3 linked regions of the Oryctolagus cuniculus genome follow. The protein of the gene in region 2 binds, or shares a complex with, the protein of the main gene of each other region. Links are inferred from orthologs where the notes say so. Each region holds a gene or a part of one and is shown on either strand. Other genes may lie near its edges.

Evidence for each region.
Region 1: the proteins of tubulin alpha-1A chain (region 2) and PIERCE1 are in contact, whole or in part, in a cryo-EM structure (PDB 7UNG), measured with the Homo sapiens proteins. The link is inferred for Oryctolagus cuniculus from reciprocal best matches to the Homo sapiens genes TUBA1A and PIERCE1. Residues at the interface, in NP_001257328.1 of Homo sapiens: Met1, Arg2, Gln15, Asn18, Ala19, Glu22, Cys25, Leu26, Glu27, His28, Gly29, Ile30, Gln31, Pro32, Asp33, Met36, Pro37, Asp39, Lys40, Asp46, Asp47, Ser48, Asn50, Glu77, Gly81, Thr82, Tyr83, Tyr224, Thr225, Asn228; in NP_001041730.1 of Homo sapiens: Tyr28, Pro35, Gly36, Arg37, Phe38, Trp43, Phe44, Arg45, Gly46, Tyr47, Arg48, Thr58, Ser59, Asn60, Gln61, Ala62, Tyr63, Gly64, Arg66, His71, Glu72, Pro74, Phe77, Tyr78, Pro79, Asn80, Ser81, Asn82, Lys83.
Region 3: the proteins of tubulin alpha-1A chain (region 2) and CFAP276 are in contact, whole or in part, in a cryo-EM structure (PDB 7UNG), measured with the Homo sapiens proteins. The link is inferred for Oryctolagus cuniculus from reciprocal best matches to the Homo sapiens genes TUBA1A and CFAP276. Residues at the interface, in NP_001257328.1 of Homo sapiens: Lys112, Glu113, Ile115, Asp116, Leu117, Leu119, Asp120, Arg123, Lys124, Asp127, Arg156, Ser158, Val159, Asp160, Gly162, Lys163, Leu195, Glu196, His197, Ser198, Asp199, Tyr262, Pro263, Arg264, Trp346, Lys430, Asp431, Glu434, Val435, Val437; in NP_001231954.1 of Homo sapiens: Pro43, Trp44, Arg46, Leu47, Asn48, Thr50, Pro51, Thr52, Ile53, Thr54, Ser55, Arg57, Arg58, Ala60, Tyr62, Asp64, Ile67, Pro68, Lys69, Asp70, Asp71, Phe74, Arg75, Lys90, Ser91, Leu94, Leu95, Asn96, Lys98, Thr99.

What each region holds. Positions count from the first base shown.
Region 1 is NC_091432.1:236,424,966-236,431,556, reverse strand, and holds the start of PIERCE1 (piercer of microtubule wall 1 protein), read left to right. Parts: upstream 1-2,448; 5' UTR 2,449-2,602; coding exon 2,603-2,745; intron 2,746-3,320; coding exon 3,321-3,399; intron 3,400-6,195; coding exon 6,196-6,384; 3' UTR 6,385-6,591. Other genes in the region: MRPS2 (small ribosomal subunit protein uS2m), read right to left, coding at 204-762, 1,581-1,731, 2,000-2,116, 2,233-2,275. UniProt on the Homo sapiens protein: Microtubule inner protein involved in the attachment of outer dynein arms (ODAs) to dynein-decorated doublet microtubules (DMTs) in cilia axoneme, which is required for motile cilia beating.
Region 2 is NC_091442.1:52,627,887-52,634,357, reverse strand, and holds the start of tubulin alpha-1A chain, read left to right. Parts: upstream 1-2,523; 5' UTR 2,524-2,750; coding exon 2,751-2,753; intron 2,754-3,291; exon of another isoform or gene 3,292-3,398; intron 3,399-4,492; coding exon 4,493-4,715; intron 4,716-4,855; coding exon 4,856-5,004; intron 5,005-5,311; coding exon 5,312-6,292; 3' UTR 6,293-6,471. UniProt on the Homo sapiens protein: Tubulin is the major constituent of microtubules, a cylinder consisting of laterally associated linear protofilaments composed of alpha- and beta-tubulin heterodimers.
Region 3 is NC_091438.1:61,319,603-61,326,250, forward strand, and holds the start of CFAP276 (cilia- and flagella-associated protein 276), read left to right. Parts: upstream 1-3,002; 5' UTR 3,003-3,017; coding exon 3,018-3,170; intron 3,171-3,282; exon of another isoform or gene 3,283-3,472; intron 3,473-3,491; coding exon of another isoform or gene 3,492-3,498; exon of another isoform or gene 3,499-3,639; intron 3,640-3,795; exon of another isoform or gene 3,796-3,848; coding exon of another isoform or gene 3,849-3,929; exon of another isoform or gene 3,930-4,046; intron 4,047-6,097; coding exon 6,098-6,214; intron 6,215-6,648. Other genes in the region: ELAPOR1 (endosome/lysosome-associated apoptosis and autophagy regulator 1), read right to left, coding at 2,580-2,785, 3,492-3,498. UniProt on the Homo sapiens protein: Microtubule inner protein (MIP) part of the dynein-decorated doublet microtubules (DMTs) in cilia axoneme, which is required for motile cilia beating. May play an important role for the maintenance of myelin-axon integrity.

The sequences.
Region 1 (6,591 bases), on a different chromosome or scaffold from region 2:
CGTCTCTGCAGCCGGGAGCCGGCCAGAGGGTCCCAGGGCTCGCACCGCGTGCGGCGGGGGATTCAGACGGAGAGAAGCCGGGTGGTTTCCTGGAGGCGGCAGCGCCGGCCGCTGGGCTCCCGGGAGACCCGAGCTCGAGCGGCGGCTCGGACGGCGGTCTGTGGGCGCCAGGCCAGCGGGCGGGGTCAGGCTCAGGGCGCTGGCTAGGGCGCAGGCCCGGCTCCCTGGCCCGCGGCGCCCTGCAGGCGGTACAAGGCCTCGACCTGCCGGCGCTTCTCCTTGGCGCGGCTGACGGCGAGCCGGAAGAGGCGGCAGAAGAGCTGCACGGCGGCCGGGGAGTCGTCGTTGCCGGGCACGGGGTAGGTGAGGAGGCACGGGTTGCAGTTGGTGTCCACCACGCCCACCGTGGGGATGTTCATCTTGGCCGCGTCCCTCACGGCCACGTGCGGCTCGAACACGTTGTTGAGCGTGTGCAGGAAGATGAGCAGGTCGGGCAGGCGCACGGCGGGGCCGAACAGGAGGCCGGCGTTGGTCAGCAGGCCGCCCTTGAAGTAGCGCGTGTGCGCGTACTCGCCGCAGGCGCGCGCCGTGCTCTCCACCAGGTGCGAGAACTGCCGGCTGCGGCTCACGAACAGGATGACGCCCCCGCGGTAGGCCATGTGCGCCGTGAAGTTGAGGGCCAGCTGCAGGTGCGCGGCCGTCTGCTCCAGGTCGATGATGTCCTGGTTCAGCCGGCTCCCGAAGATGTAGGGTTCCATGAACCTGCGGCGGGCGGAGGCTCAGCCGGCGGGCCCCGCCCCACCCCCGCCCCCGGCACGCCCCCGACTCGGCCCGGCCCCGCCACGCCCCCTCGTAAACGCGGGAGACCTTCCAGCTGGCCCCGCCCTGACTCGGCCCGGCCCCGCCCCCGCCACGCCCCCTCGTAAACGCGGGAGACCTTCCAGCTGGCCCCGCCCCGACTCGGCCCGGCCCCGCCCCCGCCACGCCCCCTCATCAACGCGGGATACCTTCCACCTGGGCCCCCCCTCGGCCCGGCCCCGCCCCGACTCGGCGCGGCCCCGCCCCCTCGTAAACGCGGGAGACCTTCCAGCTGGCCCCCCCCCTCAGCCCGGCGGGCCCCGCCCCCGGCACGCCCCCGACTCGGCCCGGCCCCGCCCCCTCATCTAAACGCCCGAGGCCTTCCAGGTCTGGCCACGCCTCCCAGGAGCCCGAATCCTGTCCGGGTCTCCCACTCGGGCGCCTGCCTCCCGTGTCCCAGTGGGGGCTTCACCTGCCCCCCCCCCCCGCCCCGGCCGCCACTTCCGTCCCCCCCGCTCATCTCCAGATGCCCTGGACAAGGCTCGTCCAGGGGTGGGGCTGAGGCGTGTCCACGCCCCCCTCCCTGCGCACTGCTCAGCAAACCCCACCGCGCCCCTCCCCCGCGCCTCCTGGGCTCGACCCGGCCACCCCCTCCCCGGTGGGCTGCTGGGACCCCACCTCCACCCCGCTCGCGGCTGCCCCACGCTTCCCCTCACCCTCCACCGTCCTGCCTGGAGCCCCGCCCCCAGCCGGCGCCCAGCGGGGGCCCCGCGCCCACCCACCTGTGCCGACAGCCGGCTTTGTGGCCCAGGTGCACGCGGGCCTCGAACAGGCTCCTCACGGAGAAGAGCTCCCGCACGTTGAAGAAGTCGGCGTGCTTGAGCGGCTCCCGGAGGACCTGCTCGCGGACGTCCGGGGCCAGGCCACCGACACCTGCGCACGCAGACCCCGGACTCGCCCACGCGCGCCTCCGGCACCGCCACCCCGCGCCCCGGGGTCTCCGGCCGCAGGCGGGGAAGCTGCGGGGGCCCACCCCGGAGGTCCGAGTCCTGGACTCCGAGGTCCGTCACTGGGGCCCCCCCCCCCCGGACCAAGCCCCTCCCCGCCCGCGACCCCCAGAGGCCGCGGGCGCCCCGGGGTGGGGGTCCCGCTGGGCGGAGGTGCCCGAGGCCCCCGCCCCGCCCGCGCCCCGGGCCGTTACCGCAGTGGTCCTCGCACTCGCTGACGGCCGGGGCCGGGCCGCTGCCCAGCGTCCTGCAGCCGGGCCGGACGGGGCCGCGCGCCACCGTCGCGCAGAGCTGGGGCCGGCGCCAGGCACCTGCGGGAGCAAGCACGCGTGACTGCGGGGCCGCTCGCCCCCCGCCCACCCGGCCCGCCCCGGCCCCGGCCCCGGCCCGCCCCGGCCCCGGCCCCGGCCCCAGCCCCGGCCCTCACCCGCGCACAGCAGGCGCGACAGCGTGGCCGCGGCGGGCGCCATGACGGCCGGACGCGGAGACTGCGCTGCCCCCGGCGGGCAGAGCGGCCGCTGCGCGCGCGGCGACAGCGCCCCCTGCAGGCCCGGAGGAGCCGCGGCGCCAAGTGCGCGGGTGCCGGACGGAGCGCAGACTCGGGCCGGGGCGGGGGCTGAGCCGCGCGGACGCGCGCAGTCCGCAGCCGGGGCGCGCACCCCTCGGGCGCCTTGCGGAGGAAGTCCCGGGACCCCTCCCCCCGCGCGTGCGCGCTGCCCCTCTACGGGCGCGTGGCCGGCCGTCGCTTAGCTACGGGACGCGCCCCGGGGACCCCGGCCAGTTCCCGCGGAGCAGCCATGTCCCAGGAGGAGCCCCCCGCGTGCGTGGGCGAAGCCGAGCCCCGGGCCCCCGCGGCCCCCGAGAAGACCAGCGACTACTACTGCGTGAGCGAGTGCCTGCCGCGGAGGTTCAACCACCCGGGGTGGTTCCGTGGCTACAGGTGAGGGGCGGGGGCGCCAGGGGCCGGTGGGCACGGAGCCCGCCCGAGGTCAGGGTCCCTGCGCACACCGAGCTCCGGCTCCTGCGCTGCCCATGTAGCTCCCCGCGGGTGCGCGCCCCAGGGGGAGCTCCTGGCTCCTGGCTGTGGCCTGGCCCAGCCCGGCCGCGCGGGTTTGGGGAGTGACCCAGCGGATGGAAGCTGTCCCTCTCCCTCTCTCTGCTTTCGAATAAAATGAAAGCGTTAAGAGAAAACCGACACGCAGTCCGGCTCCCCAGCCCCTGGGTCATGGTGCGCTGGGGGAGGCCCAGCAGGGCCCAGCACTGAGAAGTGACCGGAAGCCCCTGCGTGTGGACGCCGGCCAGTGCCCCTCCTGGAGTGTGTGTCCCCAGCTCGCGCTGGCCGGCGGCGGCGGTGGTGGTGGGTGTCCCAGCGGCCACAGGCTGTCCCAGGGGCTGGCGGCATGGGGCCTGGAGGCTGAGCGCCGGCCCCAGTCCTTGCCGGGGGAGGGCGGGAGGCCGGCCGGGGCGGTCAGCCTCGCGGAAGACGGGCGGACAGCGAGCGTGTGTCACCCCCAGGAGCGCGCAGGCGGCCTCCATGTACAGGACCAGCAACCAGGTGTACGGGAGCAGAGCGCCCACGGTGCACGAGATGCCTGTAAGGGGCCGGGCGGGTCGGGGGTGGGGCCCTGGGGTCCCCCCGGGAGGGCAGGGCAGGGAGGAGCAGGTGGGCGCCAGCCCAAGGGAGTGGCGCACGCCTGCCGCGGGGCCCACGCGGTCAGCTGAGCGCCCGTGGGCTGGAGGCCGCCGTCTGTCTAGAACCCCACTTTGCTTCCTGAGCTGTGGGCTGGGACCCCAGGAAAGGAGCCCCGCTCCCCCGTGTGCAGGGACACATCCTCCCGAGGCGGGAGCCCACAGGTGCGTGGGCGGGCACGGGGCCCAGCCCCTCCCCCAGTCTGACCTGCCTCCCTGGGTGCCCCGCCCACACCCCCACGAGGACCCCTGGTGTGTAGTGGGGATGCGGCCCCGCCCCAGTCACACGTGGGATCTGGGGGCCGTATGTGGGGCTTGCCTGAGGAGGCCCTAGCTTCTCCGGGAACTCTCTGGAGCCTGTTGGAGGCGCGGGCCCAGCGCCAGGCAGCCGCGGCTTTTCCCGGGGAGCAGGTGCACAGTGCGGGGTCAGAGCCGGGTCTGCTCTGGCCGAGCCAGGCACGGAGCAGGTGCGCGGCGCGGGGTGGGAGGAGCCCGGTGTGGAGCAGGTGCACGGCGCGGGGTGGGAAGAGCCGGGAGCGCGGGGTGGGAGGAGCCCGGTGTGGAGCAGGTGCGCGGCGCGGGGTGGGAGGAGCCGGGAGCGCGGGGTGGGAGGAGCCCGGCGTGGAGCAGGTGCGCAGTGCGGGGTGGGAGGAGCCGGGAGCGCGGGGTGGGAGGAGCCCGGTGAGGAGCAGGTGCACAGTGCGGGGTGGGAGGAGCCCGGTGTGGAGCAGGTGCGCGGGGCGGGGTGGGAGGAGCCCGGTGAGGAGCAGGTGCGCAGCGCGGGGTGGGAGGAGCCCGGTGAGGAGCAGGTGCACAGTGCGGGGTGGGAGGAGCCGGGAGCGCGGGGTGGGAGGAGCCCGGTGTGGAGCAGGTGCGCGGGGCGGGGTGGGAGGAGCCGGGTCTGCTCTCGCCCAGCCCGGCGCAGAGCAAGTGCACAGTGCGGGGTCAGAGCCAGGACTGCTCTCGCCGAGCCGGCCCTGCGCTCCTGGGCCCGGTGTGGAGCTGTTGGCCTCACCTCGCGTGGGGTTCGCGGGCGGCTTTGTGTTTGGCGGTGGTTCTGCTGCTCTGCCCCCGGGGGTGCCTGTTGGGGTGCACTTGCCAGAGCCCACAGGATCCGGCAGGGAGAGCCCGCGGGGCGCCTGTGACCTCAGTCTGATGAAGGGTCAGCCACACAGGACGCACGGTGCTGACGACGGGGCAGCTCTGTGTGTGTCTGTATGTGTGCCTCTGTGTCTCTGATGTGGGTGTGCCTGTGTGTGAGCCTGTGCGTGTGTGTGGGTGTGCCTATGTGTGTGTCTGTGTGTATTTGTGTATGTTTCTGTATCTGAGTGTGCCTGTGTGTCTGTGTGGCTCTGTTTCTGTGTGTCTCTGTGTTCGTGTGTGTAGGTGTGTATTTGTGTGTGTCTCTGTATCTGGGTGTGCCTGTGCCTGTGTGTGTGTCTCTGTATGTCTGTGTGTCTCTCTGTGTATGTCTCTGTGTGCCTGTGTGTGTGTCTGTCTGTTTGTGTGTGTCTCTGTATCTGGGTGTGCCTGTGTCTCTGTATCTGGGTGAGCCTGTGTCTGTGTGTGTTGTGTGTATCTATGTGTCCATGCGTGTGTGTCTGTGAGTCTGTGTCTCTGTGTGTGTGTGTGTCTGTGTGTGTCTCTGTATCTGGGTGTGCCTGTGTGTGTATCTATGTCTGTGTGTGTCTCTGTGTGCCTGTGTGTGTGTCTGTGTGTCTGTATGTGTCTCTGTATGTCTCTCTGTGTGTGTGTATTTGTGTGTGTCTCTGTATCTGGGTGTGCCTGTGTCTGCCTGGGTGTGTGTCTCTGTATGTCTGTGTGTGTCTCTGTGTGCCTGGGTGTGTGTCTGTGAGTCTGTGTGTGTCTCTGTATGTCTCTGTGTGTGTGTGTCTCTGTATGTCTCTGTGTGTCTGTGTCTGTGTGTGTCTCTGTATCTGGGTGTGCCTGTGTCTGTGTCTCTGCCTGGGTGTGTCTCTGTGTCTCTGTGTGTGTGTGTCTCTGTAACTGGGTGTGCCTGTCTGTGTCTCTGCCTGGGTGTGTGTCTGTGTGTGTCTCTGCCTGTGTGTCTGTGTCTGTGTGTGTCTCTGTATCTGGGTGTGCCTGTGTCTGTGTCTGCCTGGGTGTGTGTGTGTGTGTCTCTGCCTGTGTGTGTCTCTGTGTCTCTGTGTGTGTGTGTGTGTCTCTGTAACTGGGTGTGCCTGTCTGTGTCTGCCTGGGTGTGTGTCTGTGTGTGTCTCTGCCTGTGTGTGTCTCTGTGTCTCTGTGTGTGTGTGTGTGTCTCTGTAATTGGTGTGCCTGTCTGTGTCTGCCTGGGTGTGTGTCTGTGTGTGTCTCTGTATGTCTCTGTGTGTGTGTGTCTCTGTATGTCTGTGTGTGTCTCTGTATCTGGGCGTGTGTCTGTGGGTGAACTTCCTGCCCGAGGTTTCTGTAATCTAGGACCTCTCTGGAGTGAAATCCGAGCGCTGCCGGACGCCGTGTCCCCGGCACCTGCTCCCCACAGGAGCTGCGCCCGCCAGCGAGGGGCGAGGGGCCGGGCTCCGCCTGTCGGGGAGGCGCAGGCCGCCCCCTGCCGCTGGGCGCGGGAACCTCGTTGCAGCTCCTCGGCTTGGCCTGCGCAGTCGCGGGCCCGGCAGCTCCTCGGCTTGGCCTGCGCAGTCGCGGGCCTCGCCGCCCCACACCGGGCCCCTCTGCCTTGCAGAAAGTCTTCTATCCGTATTCCAGCAAGTTTTCCCGGGAGTTCGCGGTGGGCGGGATGTTCCAGAGCAGCGCTTTCAACGTGGGCCTGGAGAAGAGCCTGGTGACCGGGCCCGGCAGCCACGTGACCGCCTGTGACCGCCGCGACTTCCACCCCAGCTACAACGCCAGCCGGCCGTCCATCTGCGACTGAGGCCGGCCGGCCGGCACCCGCTGCTTCTCCCCTGAAGGGTCTTTGGTCCCCGGGATGGAGGGGTGTCCAGATGGGGCCGGGACGCCCTGCGCCGGCCGGCCGGCGCCGAGACATGCGGGCACGGTGCTCGGATAGTTTGCGTAGGCATTAAACATGTTGCCGTCCCTGCCTTGTGTGACCTCCGTGACCCTGGCGTCTGGGAACCAA
Region 2 (6,471 bases):
TGAAGGGGCCCAAGCACTTGGGCCATCCTCTGCTGCCTTTCCAAGTGCACTAGCAGGGAGCTGGATCAGAAGTGGAGCAGTCAGGGCTCGAGAAGATATCCATATGGGATTCCAGCAATGTAGGCGGTGGTTTTACCCACCATGCCACAGTGCCGCCTCATTAATGTACATTCTGGGAGGCAGCAGGTGATAGCTCATGTATGTGTGTCTCTGCCACCCATGTAAGAAACCCAGATTGAGCATCTGGTTCCTGGGTCCCATCACTCATGTGGGAGACCTGGATGAAGCTCGTCCTCCTGATTTCAGCCTTGCTGAGCCTGGGCCGTTGAGGCCATTTGGGGACCGAACCAGCAGATGGAAGATCTCTCGTCTCTCCCTCTCTCACTTTGTAACTCTGCCTTTCAAACAAATACATATTTTAAAAATTAGCAGTAAAAATAGGAAGTAAATTAGTAAGAAAAATTTTTTTTTTGCTTTCCATAGTTTGAATGCTTTTAAATCAGATAATGAAGAAACAAAAAGAACAGAGTGGTTATTTTCTCTGATCTCCCGCTTATATATTTAAGATTGTCAAATACACTATTGCTGACCTAGATCTTATTGTTACTTCTGCCCAAGAGGAGGGAGAAAGACCTTCATTTACATAAAGAACAGAATGGCTCTGAGATAGAGTTACAAAGAATCAATACCATGAACCCTCCTCTCTTGTAGTTAAGTCTCTGTAAAACACAAAAAGGACTGAAATTACTGGGGCGATGAAAATTTTCTTAATTTATTTTTTTCTACTGTAAGGAAAATAGAAATTCAAGACTATTGCTCATTCCAAAAAGAAGATTTCTATACTTACTATATACAGTCTAGCAATGTTTGATTTCCTTTGTTATTAAAATGGTTTAAGCATTTTTAATGATCTATTAATCTTTATGCTCTCTAGGCCATTTACTTTTTATCTTTGTTAAACACACTTCTGGGTTCAGAAAGTATTCAAGTCATCCTCAATCCTTCTGTCTCTTTACTGAAATATATTTTATTGGCTAAAAGGATTGCAACAAGGTGATGTTGACTACTTTTACAATGAAATATGCAAGCAGTAGATAAAATGGCTTGTGTGTTAGGCTTCATTTTTTTCTAGAGAACTTACTGCAGCAAATCTGTGCAAGCAAAGCAGAGGTGTGGCTAGCGCAGTCCCACAGCCGCCATTGTCATCCCACAACCTGCAGTGCTGCCCACGCCCTGCTCTGCCCACCAGCCCGCAGCAGTGACTGGGCTCCACAGGGCGCTGTAGTAATGCAGCCCCCGAAAATCAGTTGCTGGAAATTGAAAGGAAAAACAGAAATTTCTATTTTTGATAGTCAAACAAATCTCTTTACCTCTGAAATGTCATCCACAATGGCAAGAGGTGCACAGCCCGGAGACCTATTTTGCATAGCCCATCCTTGATGAGAATGGAGCCGTTCCGAGCAGCAAACCATTTCCTAGGGGGGAAAGCAAAGCCTTTTTTGTCCCCAAGAGGCCTCTGGGCAGCCACCAGTCTCCAGCTGAATAGCAGCGGTGTGAGGCCGGCTAAGGTTCCCACAGTTAGGAGGGTGTGGACCCCATTCTTATAAGCACTATATAAAAATGGACTGCGGTTGAACTGAGACTGCAGAGTTGCCTGCAGATGGAGGCAACAATACAAAGTGGTCCTCTTTTTGCATCCTACATCTTTCTTGTCTTCTTTTTAATTTAGTGTTTTGGTTACTCTTTTTTGTTTGTAACTTTCCCAAAAGGCGAGCAATGCAGAAATATAATTGCACACACAAGGGATACCGGTTTCTGCAGTCAATTCTTTCTCCTTGTGTTTTCCCAATTCTGTATTGGGAACGATGATTCATTTCTACATCTCACAAAATATATTACAGAGTCTTTTGGCAAATGAGTATCTCTCATCAGCTAACCCTCATGTGTCCATTAGCTCTCACCGACTGCAATGCTAGAACCTTTTGTGTTCTTTTATGCGGTATGGCTATGCCTCCCATCACCCATTTTGTTGAGCTATTTGGGTGTCTGTGCCCAAAAGAAGATATGAAAATACATTAATTGAACCTGCAGAGCCTTTTTTTTTTTTTTTTGGATGACTGTATTACCGGGTCCTTTTCTAATTAAAATAAGAGAGAAAGGGAAAGCATATTTACTCAAACCATTTTGAGTATCGCTCCCGTCTTTCCCACTTTATTTTTAAAGCAATTCGAGATGCTGGTTCGTAACCAAATGTAGCTTAGTGTACTGTCAGGGGGCGATTCTTCACGAAGATTCCATCTCAACACAAATGCTACGATTGAAACCGTACCTAGGTGATTTTAGCTGCAGGTTGAGACTGAAGCGATAGAAAATGATCTAGCCGCAGTCCTCTTTCTTCCCTTCCGCCCCTCCCGAGAGCCCCACCCCGTAATGGATGCTGGGCTGCCGGCTTTGGCTCGGTCTCTTTGTCTGAAGGATGCAGTCTATGGATACTGGGGGAAAACGGGTGGGGGAGCGATTACCTCATCCCATGTCGCCTGCACCAATCAGCACTCTTCTGCCGCGGCTTCTCCGGGCAGAGAGAGGGGTCTGGACCAACAGGAAGAGGCCCCGGCCCATCCCCATGGCGACCGGGCTGTATATAGGCGGCCGCCACCGCCCGAGCCGCAGGTTCTCTTACATCGACCGCCTAAGAGTCGCGCTGTAAGAAGCAGCAGCCTCCCTCTCGGCCTCCGCGCGCAGCAGCAACCATGGTAAGCGCCGGCCCCCCAGGCGGCCCGGGGAGCCCTTTGTAGCCTTTTTTGTCCAGGGTGGCTTTGTTTGCTTTCGGTCCCTACGCCCTGCCGCTGCCGCAGTGCGGAGCCAGGGCCCGGCCGGGACGAACAAAGGCGACGCCAGGGAGTGTTTGTCGCCGAGGACTCCCCGGGGCCGCAGCTGCCCCTCCGGCGGGGCGGGAGGGTCCGCAGCCGGGCGGGGCGTGCGCTCCGCGCTCGTGGGGCTCCCCGGGGACCTGCAGCCCGGGGGCGCTGGGTGTAGCTGGGCGCGGAGAGGAGGACGGGAACCGAGGGAAGCCTCGGGTTGGCGCAAGACCCTTGCGTTCTAGAGAGACAGCCGTCTACTAGCGGCTGGGGCCGGGGCGGCGCAGGGGCGGGGTTGTTTGTTTCTGGCTTCCCCGGTGTTGGAGCCGCCGGACCGGGTTCGCCCTCGCTCAGCCTCCGCGGTCACGGGGAAGCCTTGAATAAAAGCCTTGCATCACCGCGGAACTGAAGACTTCAAAAGGGTTTTCATTACCTGCTAAAGCTCAGATGAAAAAAAATTGTTTTCTCGAGGCCCAGAATCCCAATTCACAAGCCCTTTAAAGTCTGGTCCAGCGTGGCCACGCCCTTGAGGGCTGCGGGGCCGGGCTGTGGGGGGGCGCAGGGTCCGCCCTGGGTGCCTGCTGGGCTGCGGTCGGGAACGCCTGCCCCGCCCCCGCCCCAGGGAGCAGACAATGAAAATTGCAGCCCTAAAAGTGACAATCTCTGTGGGATGAGGAGTAAGAATTTTATGTGGTGGGTAAAGAATTTCAGAAAGAAAACACTTTTTTGTTGCTTTAAATACATATTTCACTGTCCTTTCACTGGGCTTTTGTTCTTTGCTAGCTTCTCATATAACATTTCTTCCTAACTCGCAAACTGTTGTTTCAAAAATACTAACAATTTTTCAGTTTTTTACAGTGGAGGCGATTCTGTAAAAACTTAAAGTAACACAATTGCTGCAGACAAAGAATTACATTCTGCTCTCCAGCCGTCTTTTGTTCTAGGGTGTCTTCATTAATTCATTTCGATTCAGGAGCATGGTCCCAGGCTGGGTCAGGGGAAGAACTAGCAAAACAGCACAATGAGATCATATAGGCAGTTGCTGGAAATAGAGCTTGCTCTGTTAAATAATGTAGCAGACAGTACAGGCTAGCGCCAGGCACAGCAAATAACGGCAGTGCAGCAATGCAGAGGCAGACTTTTGTCTAGCTTCTAATAACTCCTAGTATTGATGGATCCTGCAGGCAGACTGCAGAAGGGTGTGGCTTGCAGCTGCAGTACAGATGCCTCTTGGAATCCTAAGTCCTCTGCAGAAGAAACTAATCTCCAGTTAAAGGGGGAAAAAAGCAGTAAAATGAATTCCAATCCATGATTGGATTGAATTTAATTTACTTCATTTTACAAAATCTGTGCTTTGAAGCCATAAAAAAATCTTCCATTCAAGCATGGCTCTGTGAACAATGGGCTTGCACCATGTGCTAAACTGTGCCAAGGCGACATTATTATTCAGACCACACCCATCTGCAGTATTTGTAGCAGGTGCTTTTCTTTCATCGTTTCTATCATATTAGGGATAAAACTGCAAATAAATTTGAGGAAGATCTAATTACTAGAAATACTTTTAGAAATTTGCTGAAAATTCAAAATGCTAATACAAAATAATTTATATATATTTTTCTCTTTCCCTCACACAGCGTGAGTGCATCTCCATCCACGTCGGCCAGGCTGGTGTCCAGATCGGCAATGCCTGCTGGGAGCTCTACTGCCTGGAACACGGCATCCAGCCCGATGGCCAGATGCCAAGTGACAAGACCATTGGGGGAGGAGACGACTCCTTCAACACCTTCTTCAGTGAGACGGGCGCTGGCAAGCACGTGCCCAGGGCCGTGTTTGTAGACCTGGAGCCTACGGTCATTGGTGAGTTGGCCTCCGTGGCCTCAGTGAGAGCCCCGGGTGCTGGGACAGGTCTGGGACAATTCTGTGAGGGGGGAGCCACTGGCACCCCGGGGCCCTGCAGGCTGTCAGTGACAGGTGGCTGGTCTGCTTCCCTCTTCCAGATGAAGTTCGCACCGGCACCTACCGCCAGCTCTTCCACCCCGAGCAGCTCATCACAGGCAAGGAAGATGCTGCCAATAACTATGCCCGCGGGCACTACACCATTGGCAAGGAGATCATTGACCTCGTCCTGGACCGAATTCGCAAGCTGGTATGTTTCCTCTCAACAATAAAGTACATTAGTAAGTTAAGGGATGCTGTTTGGTTGAAACAGAATTGAAATTGAAAAAAGGTTTTTAAAAATTCAATTAAAACATGAACTATCTGATATCATTTTGTAAATACTGAGAATTTTTAAATGAAGAAATGTTGAGTAATTCCAAGGTCTTCGCTTTTTAAAAAGCATTTGTTAAAGTAAGATCTAAATTCTTAGAGATGTACGAAAAGTGAGACTATTTACTATGATTGTATCACAGACAACAAAGACTTAATCTTTTCTATTCCTCTCTTTTAAACAGGCTGACCAGTGCACGGGCCTGCAGGGCTTCTTGGTTTTCCACAGCTTTGGTGGGGGAACTGGTTCTGGGTTCACCTCCCTGCTGATGGAACGCCTCTCTGTCGATTACGGCAAGAAGTCCAAGCTGGAGTTCTCCATCTACCCAGCCCCCCAGGTTTCCACAGCTGTGGTGGAGCCCTACAACTCCATCCTCACCACCCACACCACCCTGGAGCACTCTGATTGTGCCTTCATGGTAGACAACGAGGCCATCTATGACATCTGTCGTAGAAACCTCGATATCGAGCGCCCCACCTACACTAACCTGAATAGGTTGATAGGTCAAATTGTATCCTCTATCACAGCTTCCCTGCGGTTTGACGGAGCCCTGAATGTTGATCTAACAGAATTCCAGACCAACCTGGTGCCCTACCCCCGCATCCACTTCCCTCTGGCCACATACGCCCCCGTCATCTCTGCTGAGAAAGCCTACCACGAGCAGCTTTCTGTAGCAGAGATCACCAATGCCTGCTTTGAGCCGGCCAACCAGATGGTGAAATGTGACCCTCGCCACGGTAAATACATGGCTTGCTGCCTGCTGTACCGTGGCGACGTGGTTCCCAAAGATGTCAATGCTGCCATTGCTACCATCAAGACCAAACGTACCATCCAGTTTGTGGATTGGTGCCCCACTGGCTTCAAGGTTGGCATTAACTACCAGCCTCCCACGGTGGTGCCTGGTGGAGACCTGGCCAAGGTGCAGCGAGCTGTGTGCATGCTGAGCAACACCACAGCCATTGCTGAGGCCTGGGCTCGCCTGGACCACAAGTTTGACCTGATGTATGCCAAGCGTGCCTTTGTTCACTGGTACGTGGGGGAGGGCATGGAGGAGGGAGAGTTTTCTGAAGCTCGTGAGGACATGGCTGCCCTGGAGAAGGATTACGAGGAGGTTGGTGTGGATTCTGTTGAAGGTGAGGGTGAGGAGGAAGGAGAGGAATACTAAAAATGTCGCAAAGGTGCTGCTTTTACAGGGAAGCTTTTTCTGTTTCAAACAGTGGAAATTTGGGGTCTGATCAGTTAATTTGTATGTAGCAGCATATGCTCTCATATACAATTACTGAGTTATGCTTTGAAACATGAATGCTTTGTCGGGGACCCAAGCGGTTCATTTCTCTGATGGGT
Region 3 (6,648 bases), on a different chromosome or scaffold from region 2:
CCTGGGCTTTACAATACCGATCGGGAAGTCCCTTTGGGGGCAATTAGCACCAAAGCCTCAGGACAAGGCAGATCACGTCAAAGGCAGTTTTCTGCTGCTCTCTCATTGGCTTTAGTCATCATGCTATGGGAAATGCTCCTTTGGCTCTCAGTCGGCACTCAGCCTGGGCTAGCACAGGGCTTAAGAAATGATTCATGAAGACAAACAGTGTACTGGATGTTTAGTTCCACTGGTGACCCTGATTATTCTAAAACCATGAAAGGAACACCAAGCCCCGGCATGAGTCCAGTAGCCTACAACTCTGAGTTCTCTGTCACCTTGACTTAGGCCTCAGGCTAAACCTCTGTTTTCTGATTACACCCAGAGGGATCACACACACACACACACACACACAAAGGCTGCAACCGCATTGTTGTCCATAGATCCTGACACTCACACCCAACATAGGTGCACAAGAAATTCATATGAAGATTAAGCCCAAGGAGGACTAATCTACCTCAGATTGATTTTTCACCATTTAGAGTTGGAAGCCCCCAAACTTGTTTGATCGGTTCATATTGCCATATGGAGAATGTTAGAATAAAGGGCTTATTCTCTTCCTTATTGTTCTGGAGGCAGGGTGCTCAGCGGCCACTGTTTGCTCAAGGAGAGAGTCAACAGGACTTGCTGACGCCCATGGCCAGTAAGCCCGCCTCTCAGCCACTTGCAACCTGGTGTGGGATGTGGATCTAATGGGAAAGAAGCTGAGTAGGGAAGGGGTTAGGAACTCCATGGCATGTGCTGTGTGCATTTTCCCTCCCAGTCCTCAAAGAATCATTTCTGAAGTGACTGTTACTGTAATCCTGATCCAGAAATGGTAGCGTCCCTATAGGACTAGAACCCTCATTATGTCAAGTGCCACAGCTTCCCACAGCTCGAAGCTCAGAGTTCATGGAAGACTTTTTGTCAAGCAAATATTAGTCATGGAAATAGCACTAAAAAGCAAAATGTGAGTCCTCAAGTACCAATCTTCTTCCCTCCCTTGAAGGGTTTAATTCCTTAAATGTGTTATGTTTCCAATAGCGGACAAAGATCTCAACGAGAAGTGGTAGTTGCTGTTTGAGAGTCTTAGATCCACTCAGGAGAACCCATGTTTGATTCTTAGGGAGGTGGACTTGCACGAACTCATTATTTTCACTGGTTAAACCACAGGCTACCAAAGCACTGTGTCGCGGGCACATGGACAAAATTATTCTGTTCCCAATCATCCTTAAAACATGCCATAAAGTGGCTGGGTGAGAGCAAAGACAGCCCAGGGCAGGTCAGCGTAAGGACTAACCACACTGAGCAAAAGTTTCACTGACTGGGGTAATTTATGTCATATTTAGGAATCTTTGAAGTGAAAGATCTTTATTTACAGGCCCCCTCCCCCCTTTTGCCATGATCTGTTATGTTGTAGACAGTTTACTGCTTCGCATATATTGATAATAATACATCTCCATATGGGATGGGGTTGCCATTGCTAACCAGTTAACACATGGCTTATAAAAACCATTATAACCTCTCAACACTTTAGCCAAGTCTGACACTTGGGATTATCTTCACGGTGCTTGACTCTTGACAAACTGAAGGCTTTTAATCTTACAGAGATAATAGAACTTTTATTTTGCCTTCTTCAACGTAGTTCGTATAAATATATTATTGCTGTTGCTGCCATATGGTTTAAAAAAAGTTGTTCAGTGCACGACCATATACTGATATCTCAATGATATGAAAACTACTTGGTTTTGTTCCTCTCCATACCTTTTTGTGTCTCTCCAAAACGAATTTTCATAAGGCATATTTGGTTGGAAGACACACACTACCTAGTGCCTGAATGATGTTGCCAACATTTTTAAACACGTTGAAAAAGACTCAGTGCATATGTTAGCAGAAGTCCAGAGAAGGAGAGTAAAGCCTGGGAGAGAATTAGATCGTTGGGACCTCAACATCTGGACAGAGTGTACTGAGGGGTATCAAGCAATAAACGGGATCCACACTTGTAGCCTGCAAGGTAACTGGACGTTTAAACCGAGGAAAGAGAGACTTAATGGGCTCCTACAGCCGCTCTCGCACCCTCACACACCGCCGACTGAAGTCATCATGAGAGCACAAGCGTTCCGACATCAGTCCACTACTTTTTCTGGACCTTCTTTACTTCTTTCTGATCTCATTGTCCCCCATCCCCTCCCCTTCCCTTCCCTTCCCTCTTTCTCGTTTGCCTCTCTTTATATAATCTTTTGCTTTTTAACCACTTTTAAGGAGATTTCGCCCCCAACCAGAACACAACTCACAGTCTTCTTCCTCTCTAGTTCCGAGTCCGGAGACCCAGCTCTCGCCTCTCCCCGGGGCTGGGCCGGTTCTCGCTGGGCTCAGCAGCCCACGCCACGAGGATCATCTATTTCGTGAGTCCCGGCCCTGATGCCGGGCCGCTGCTCTTCCCTCCCCTCGACGCCTCAGCCCCAAAGACACCTAAACTCCACGGCCTCTAGAGCTGGGCGCGACTGGCTCCCCCAAGGTCTCCGGCTGGTCGCAGGGTCGCGTCGGCAGGTGGACAGTACCTCTTTGCAGGCGTGAAGCTCCGGTCCGGTTCCCTGGGTCACCTGGAAGGCGGTCCCAGCCCAGAGCAGCAGCCGCAGAAGCCGGAGTGCGCGCCTCTCAACCTTCCCCCTGCCCCGGGCGGAGAGACAGCGGCGGTGCCCGGGCTCAGCCATAGCGTAGTCCTGAGAGAGCGGCTGTAGCGGCTCAGGTGGTGCGGCTGCTGTTTCTGCTGGCAGAAGGCAAGGGGAAAAAAAAAAAAGAGGGAGGTTCACAGGGGGAGGATGCAAGGGGCCGGGCTCACTCCAGTCACCTCCCTGTGGCGCCAAGGCCGCCCATCCTTCCTCCTCCCTCCGACTCCTCTCCTCCTACCCACGTCGCCTTGACAACCGCATCCTCGTTCACTGGGCGCGGGTGGGGCGGGGACCACGAGCGCCTCAGCCGCTCACCTGCCGGTCGCCATGGCAGCCGCCGCCGCTGGCGCGCGCGGAGCCACACAGTGCGCGCGCCCGGGACGTGCAATCTGCCCCAGAGGCCGGCCCAGGGCCGCGCGAAAACCGCGACCGGACATTTCTCCAGGCCATGCCCAGCCAATCCGCCGGACAGGGACTATGGTGAGCCCCCTCTGATTTTGCAAAGGTGGAGTGTGGGCCCGTAGGAAAAAGCCCGAGATACCGTCTCTGGCCCACAGACACCATCGCCCACCGGTGTGGCCCCGGTACGTACCACCTGCATCCCGCCAAGTCCATCCGTGCTCTTACAGGCGGCTCTGTGAGAAGCCCTGGGATTCGTGTCGTTAAGCCGAGCTTAAGCAAGGAGAATTCGCCCTAGCCGGCAGTACCTCCGAACGCTACACGTGTTTTGACATCCTCACTGGCTCCTTCCCTTGAATATAGGGAAGACTTTTGTTAGGTGCGAGAAAAAAGGAAACGTACGGGTCATTTTTTTCTTTTAGGACTTCTCTCCTCGACTGCAGACTTTTGCAGAAATCCTGGAGGGTGAGAGGCTGGCGTTTCTTCAACTGGGGCTCAGAAGAGCACGTTCAGGGCTTCCTGGCGCGCGCAACGCCCATTTCCCGCCGCATCCCTGCCTGCTTCCTCCCGAGGGGCATCCCGAGTTGAACCGCCAGGGGGTGCCCTTCTCGAAGGGAATTCGGCTCAGTCATAGATAGCGGGCAGTCGCCTGGCAACCGGAACAAGGTGTTCCAAACAATTGACATCCCGGAGCCTCCGCAGGCAAGGCTGTGCCCCGGCCACCTTGGCCTCCTGTTCCATCTCGCTCGGCAATTAACCATGCCTCCCACTCGAGACCCTTTCCAGCACCCTATGCCAGATAACGACGATTCCTACCTGGGAAAACAGCAGGCTTCCAAGGTACGATGGTTTCTCTTGCAGCTCCCATCAACCTGGCCAAGCCGCCCCGTTTCTGATAGTGCGACTGGCGGAGATGGTAATGGAAAGAACTCTGGTGAGGACACTGAGCCCAGGACCAGAGAAGTCTCTTTTCGGCCTGCCCCCGCGCCCTAGTCCCCATCTTCAAGTTGGTTAAATGTTCACAGGTGCTTTTGAGCAGAGGGAGATAAAGCTCAAAGTATTGATTAGTGTGAGTGATAGGAGGCGCTAGGTTCCATTGAGCCACTCCCTCCGTTTGGAAACTGTCCTCCAAAGATAAAGGAGACACGGAGTGGGAGGGAATCTTGTGAAAGCCACCAGGTCACGTCTTCATGCCCTCTGTCTTTTGGTTAATGCCAGAATGTGTTTGAGTGCGACTGTGATCAGTGATTTGGGTGAACCATCTTTTTTTTTTTTTTTTCTGCTATAAGTGTTTGAAATATTCCAAGTGTTGCAAAATAAGTTGACTTAATCAGTGACTATAGCTTGACAATGTCAAAGATCATTTTATTTATTAAGCATTTATTATTTATTACATTCTGGGCAGTCTGCTGAACACTGATGATACCTAAAGTAGATATAGCTGCTACTCTCAAAGAAGTCAAATAGAAAAGACAACAGCAAGAGTGTTTGCACAATATAGCACCTGGGGGCAGTGAGGAAAAGGAAAGCTTTCTAAAGCAGGTGAGTTTTGACAAGCGTGTTAGCTGGGCCAGGTGAGAGAGGGGTGGAATGTGAGTTAGAAGAAGGAAGTAGGAACCAGACAGTCAAGGCAAAGGAATCAGCAGGTGCATTCAAGGAAAAATGTATGTGTGTGTGTGGTCTCTTTGGAGAACTACACATAGTCCTGAAGGGTTGAAGTCTGGGTGTGAAATGGAAGTGTGGAGACATCAGGGCTGGAGAAGTGGCCTCGGTGGGCTGTGTGCACACTAGTGAGCTAGATTTTCATCCTGGAGTGAGTGACAGAATCAAATGGCAGTAGATGGGACAGAATGGGAGTGGAACAAAAGAGATGAGTGAGAAGGCAGGTGCAGCGAGCTCCAAGAGGAAGGATAATGAATCTAGAGCAGCAACACAGGGATTGGTGATTAATATGCAGATGTGAGAACAAGGCCAAGAGGAGGCCTGATGGGATGTGGTGACTGACGGATATGGGCCCAAGAAACTAGTCCAGCATTAACTCCTAGGCCTCTGAGGGCTTAACTGACCCCACTCACTGAATTGGGACACCTCAGGGATGCAGGTTTGGGGAGAAATACGTTGAGATCAATTGTGTGGATGCTGTTTTTGCAGAGCCCGTGAAACATTTAAGTGACAGTTAAGAGTAGATGACAGTGGGTTGAAGATGTCCTGTCATGCCTGGAAGCTGAAGGATGTGGGCCATCCTCCACTGCTTTCCTAGGCCATAGCAGAGAGCCAGATCAGAAGTGGAGCAGCTGGAACTCGAACCAGTGCCCATATGGGATGCCAGCACTGCAGGCAGAAGCTTCACCTGATACACCACAGCGCCGGCCCCTGGCCTCCACTTTTCTGCCTGTTAATTGCATTTGAAGTCTCATTTGTCCTTCACACTCAGGACATTTAACCTGAGCGCATCAGCTTTCCTATCTGCTCCCCAACCTTCTCCCAACTCTTCCACTCCACTCCTTTCCCTGTATTCCTGGACCATGTCTCTTTTTATTTAATATTTATTTATGTATTTGAAAGTTGGAGTTACAGAGAGGCAGAGAAAGAGAGAGAGAGAGAGAGAATATCTTCTATCTTTGGGCCAGGCTATCCGTGTCTCCCATGTGGGTGGAAAGGGCCCAAGCACTTAGGCCATCTTCTGCTGCTTTCCCAGGTGCATTAGCAAAGAGCTGGATCAGAAGCAGAGCAGTGGGGACTCAAACCAGCACTCACATGGGATGGCAGTGTTGGTGTGGCAGGCGGCAACTTAACCCACTATACCACAACACCAACCCCTTCTATCAGTTCTAAGAAAACGTAAGACGATCAAAAGCCTGGGAGATCCTGCCTCACATCATTCTCTTCACAGACTTTCCTCTGCGAGTCGATTGAAACAGAATGGAATAACGAAATGATGTCACTGAGGCTACCGCATCAGCCAGGTCCCCTGTGACCGGGTCCTGAAGGGGGTTTCTCTTTTGCAGAAACTGCCATACAAGAATCCAACTCATCTGGCTCAGCAACAAGAACCCTGGAGTCGGCTCAACTCCACTCCCACAATTACCTCCATGAGGCGTGATGCCTATTTTTTTGACCCCAAGGTACCTAGCACTGAAATACTTTTCTCTTGACACCCACTTTAGGACTCATTAGTATTCTTTTTGAAAGGAAGTCTGTCTTGACTATGTCTGTATCTCTCCTTTTGTCCCCAACCCAAGATCCTGCCAAATCCAAAACCAAACTAATTTATCTGGCCTCTAGGTCAGAAAGCTTGGATTTTGCTCCATTACCAGGAGCAAATAATTTTAATAGACTTTCCCATGTTTTTCATGAATGTAAGCATGAATGAGGTCAAGTTCAAGGCCAAATCAAGGATATTTCCATGTCCCCAGTGAGTCACCACTCTTTAGACCTGACTGTAATGGAGACAGTTCCATACTGACAAGAGTTCAGAAGTCATGGTTACAATTTGCATGTAACAAAATTGGTGTTCAGTCCCAACAGAGGGGCTTCACTTTCCTTTGGGGACGAGTAG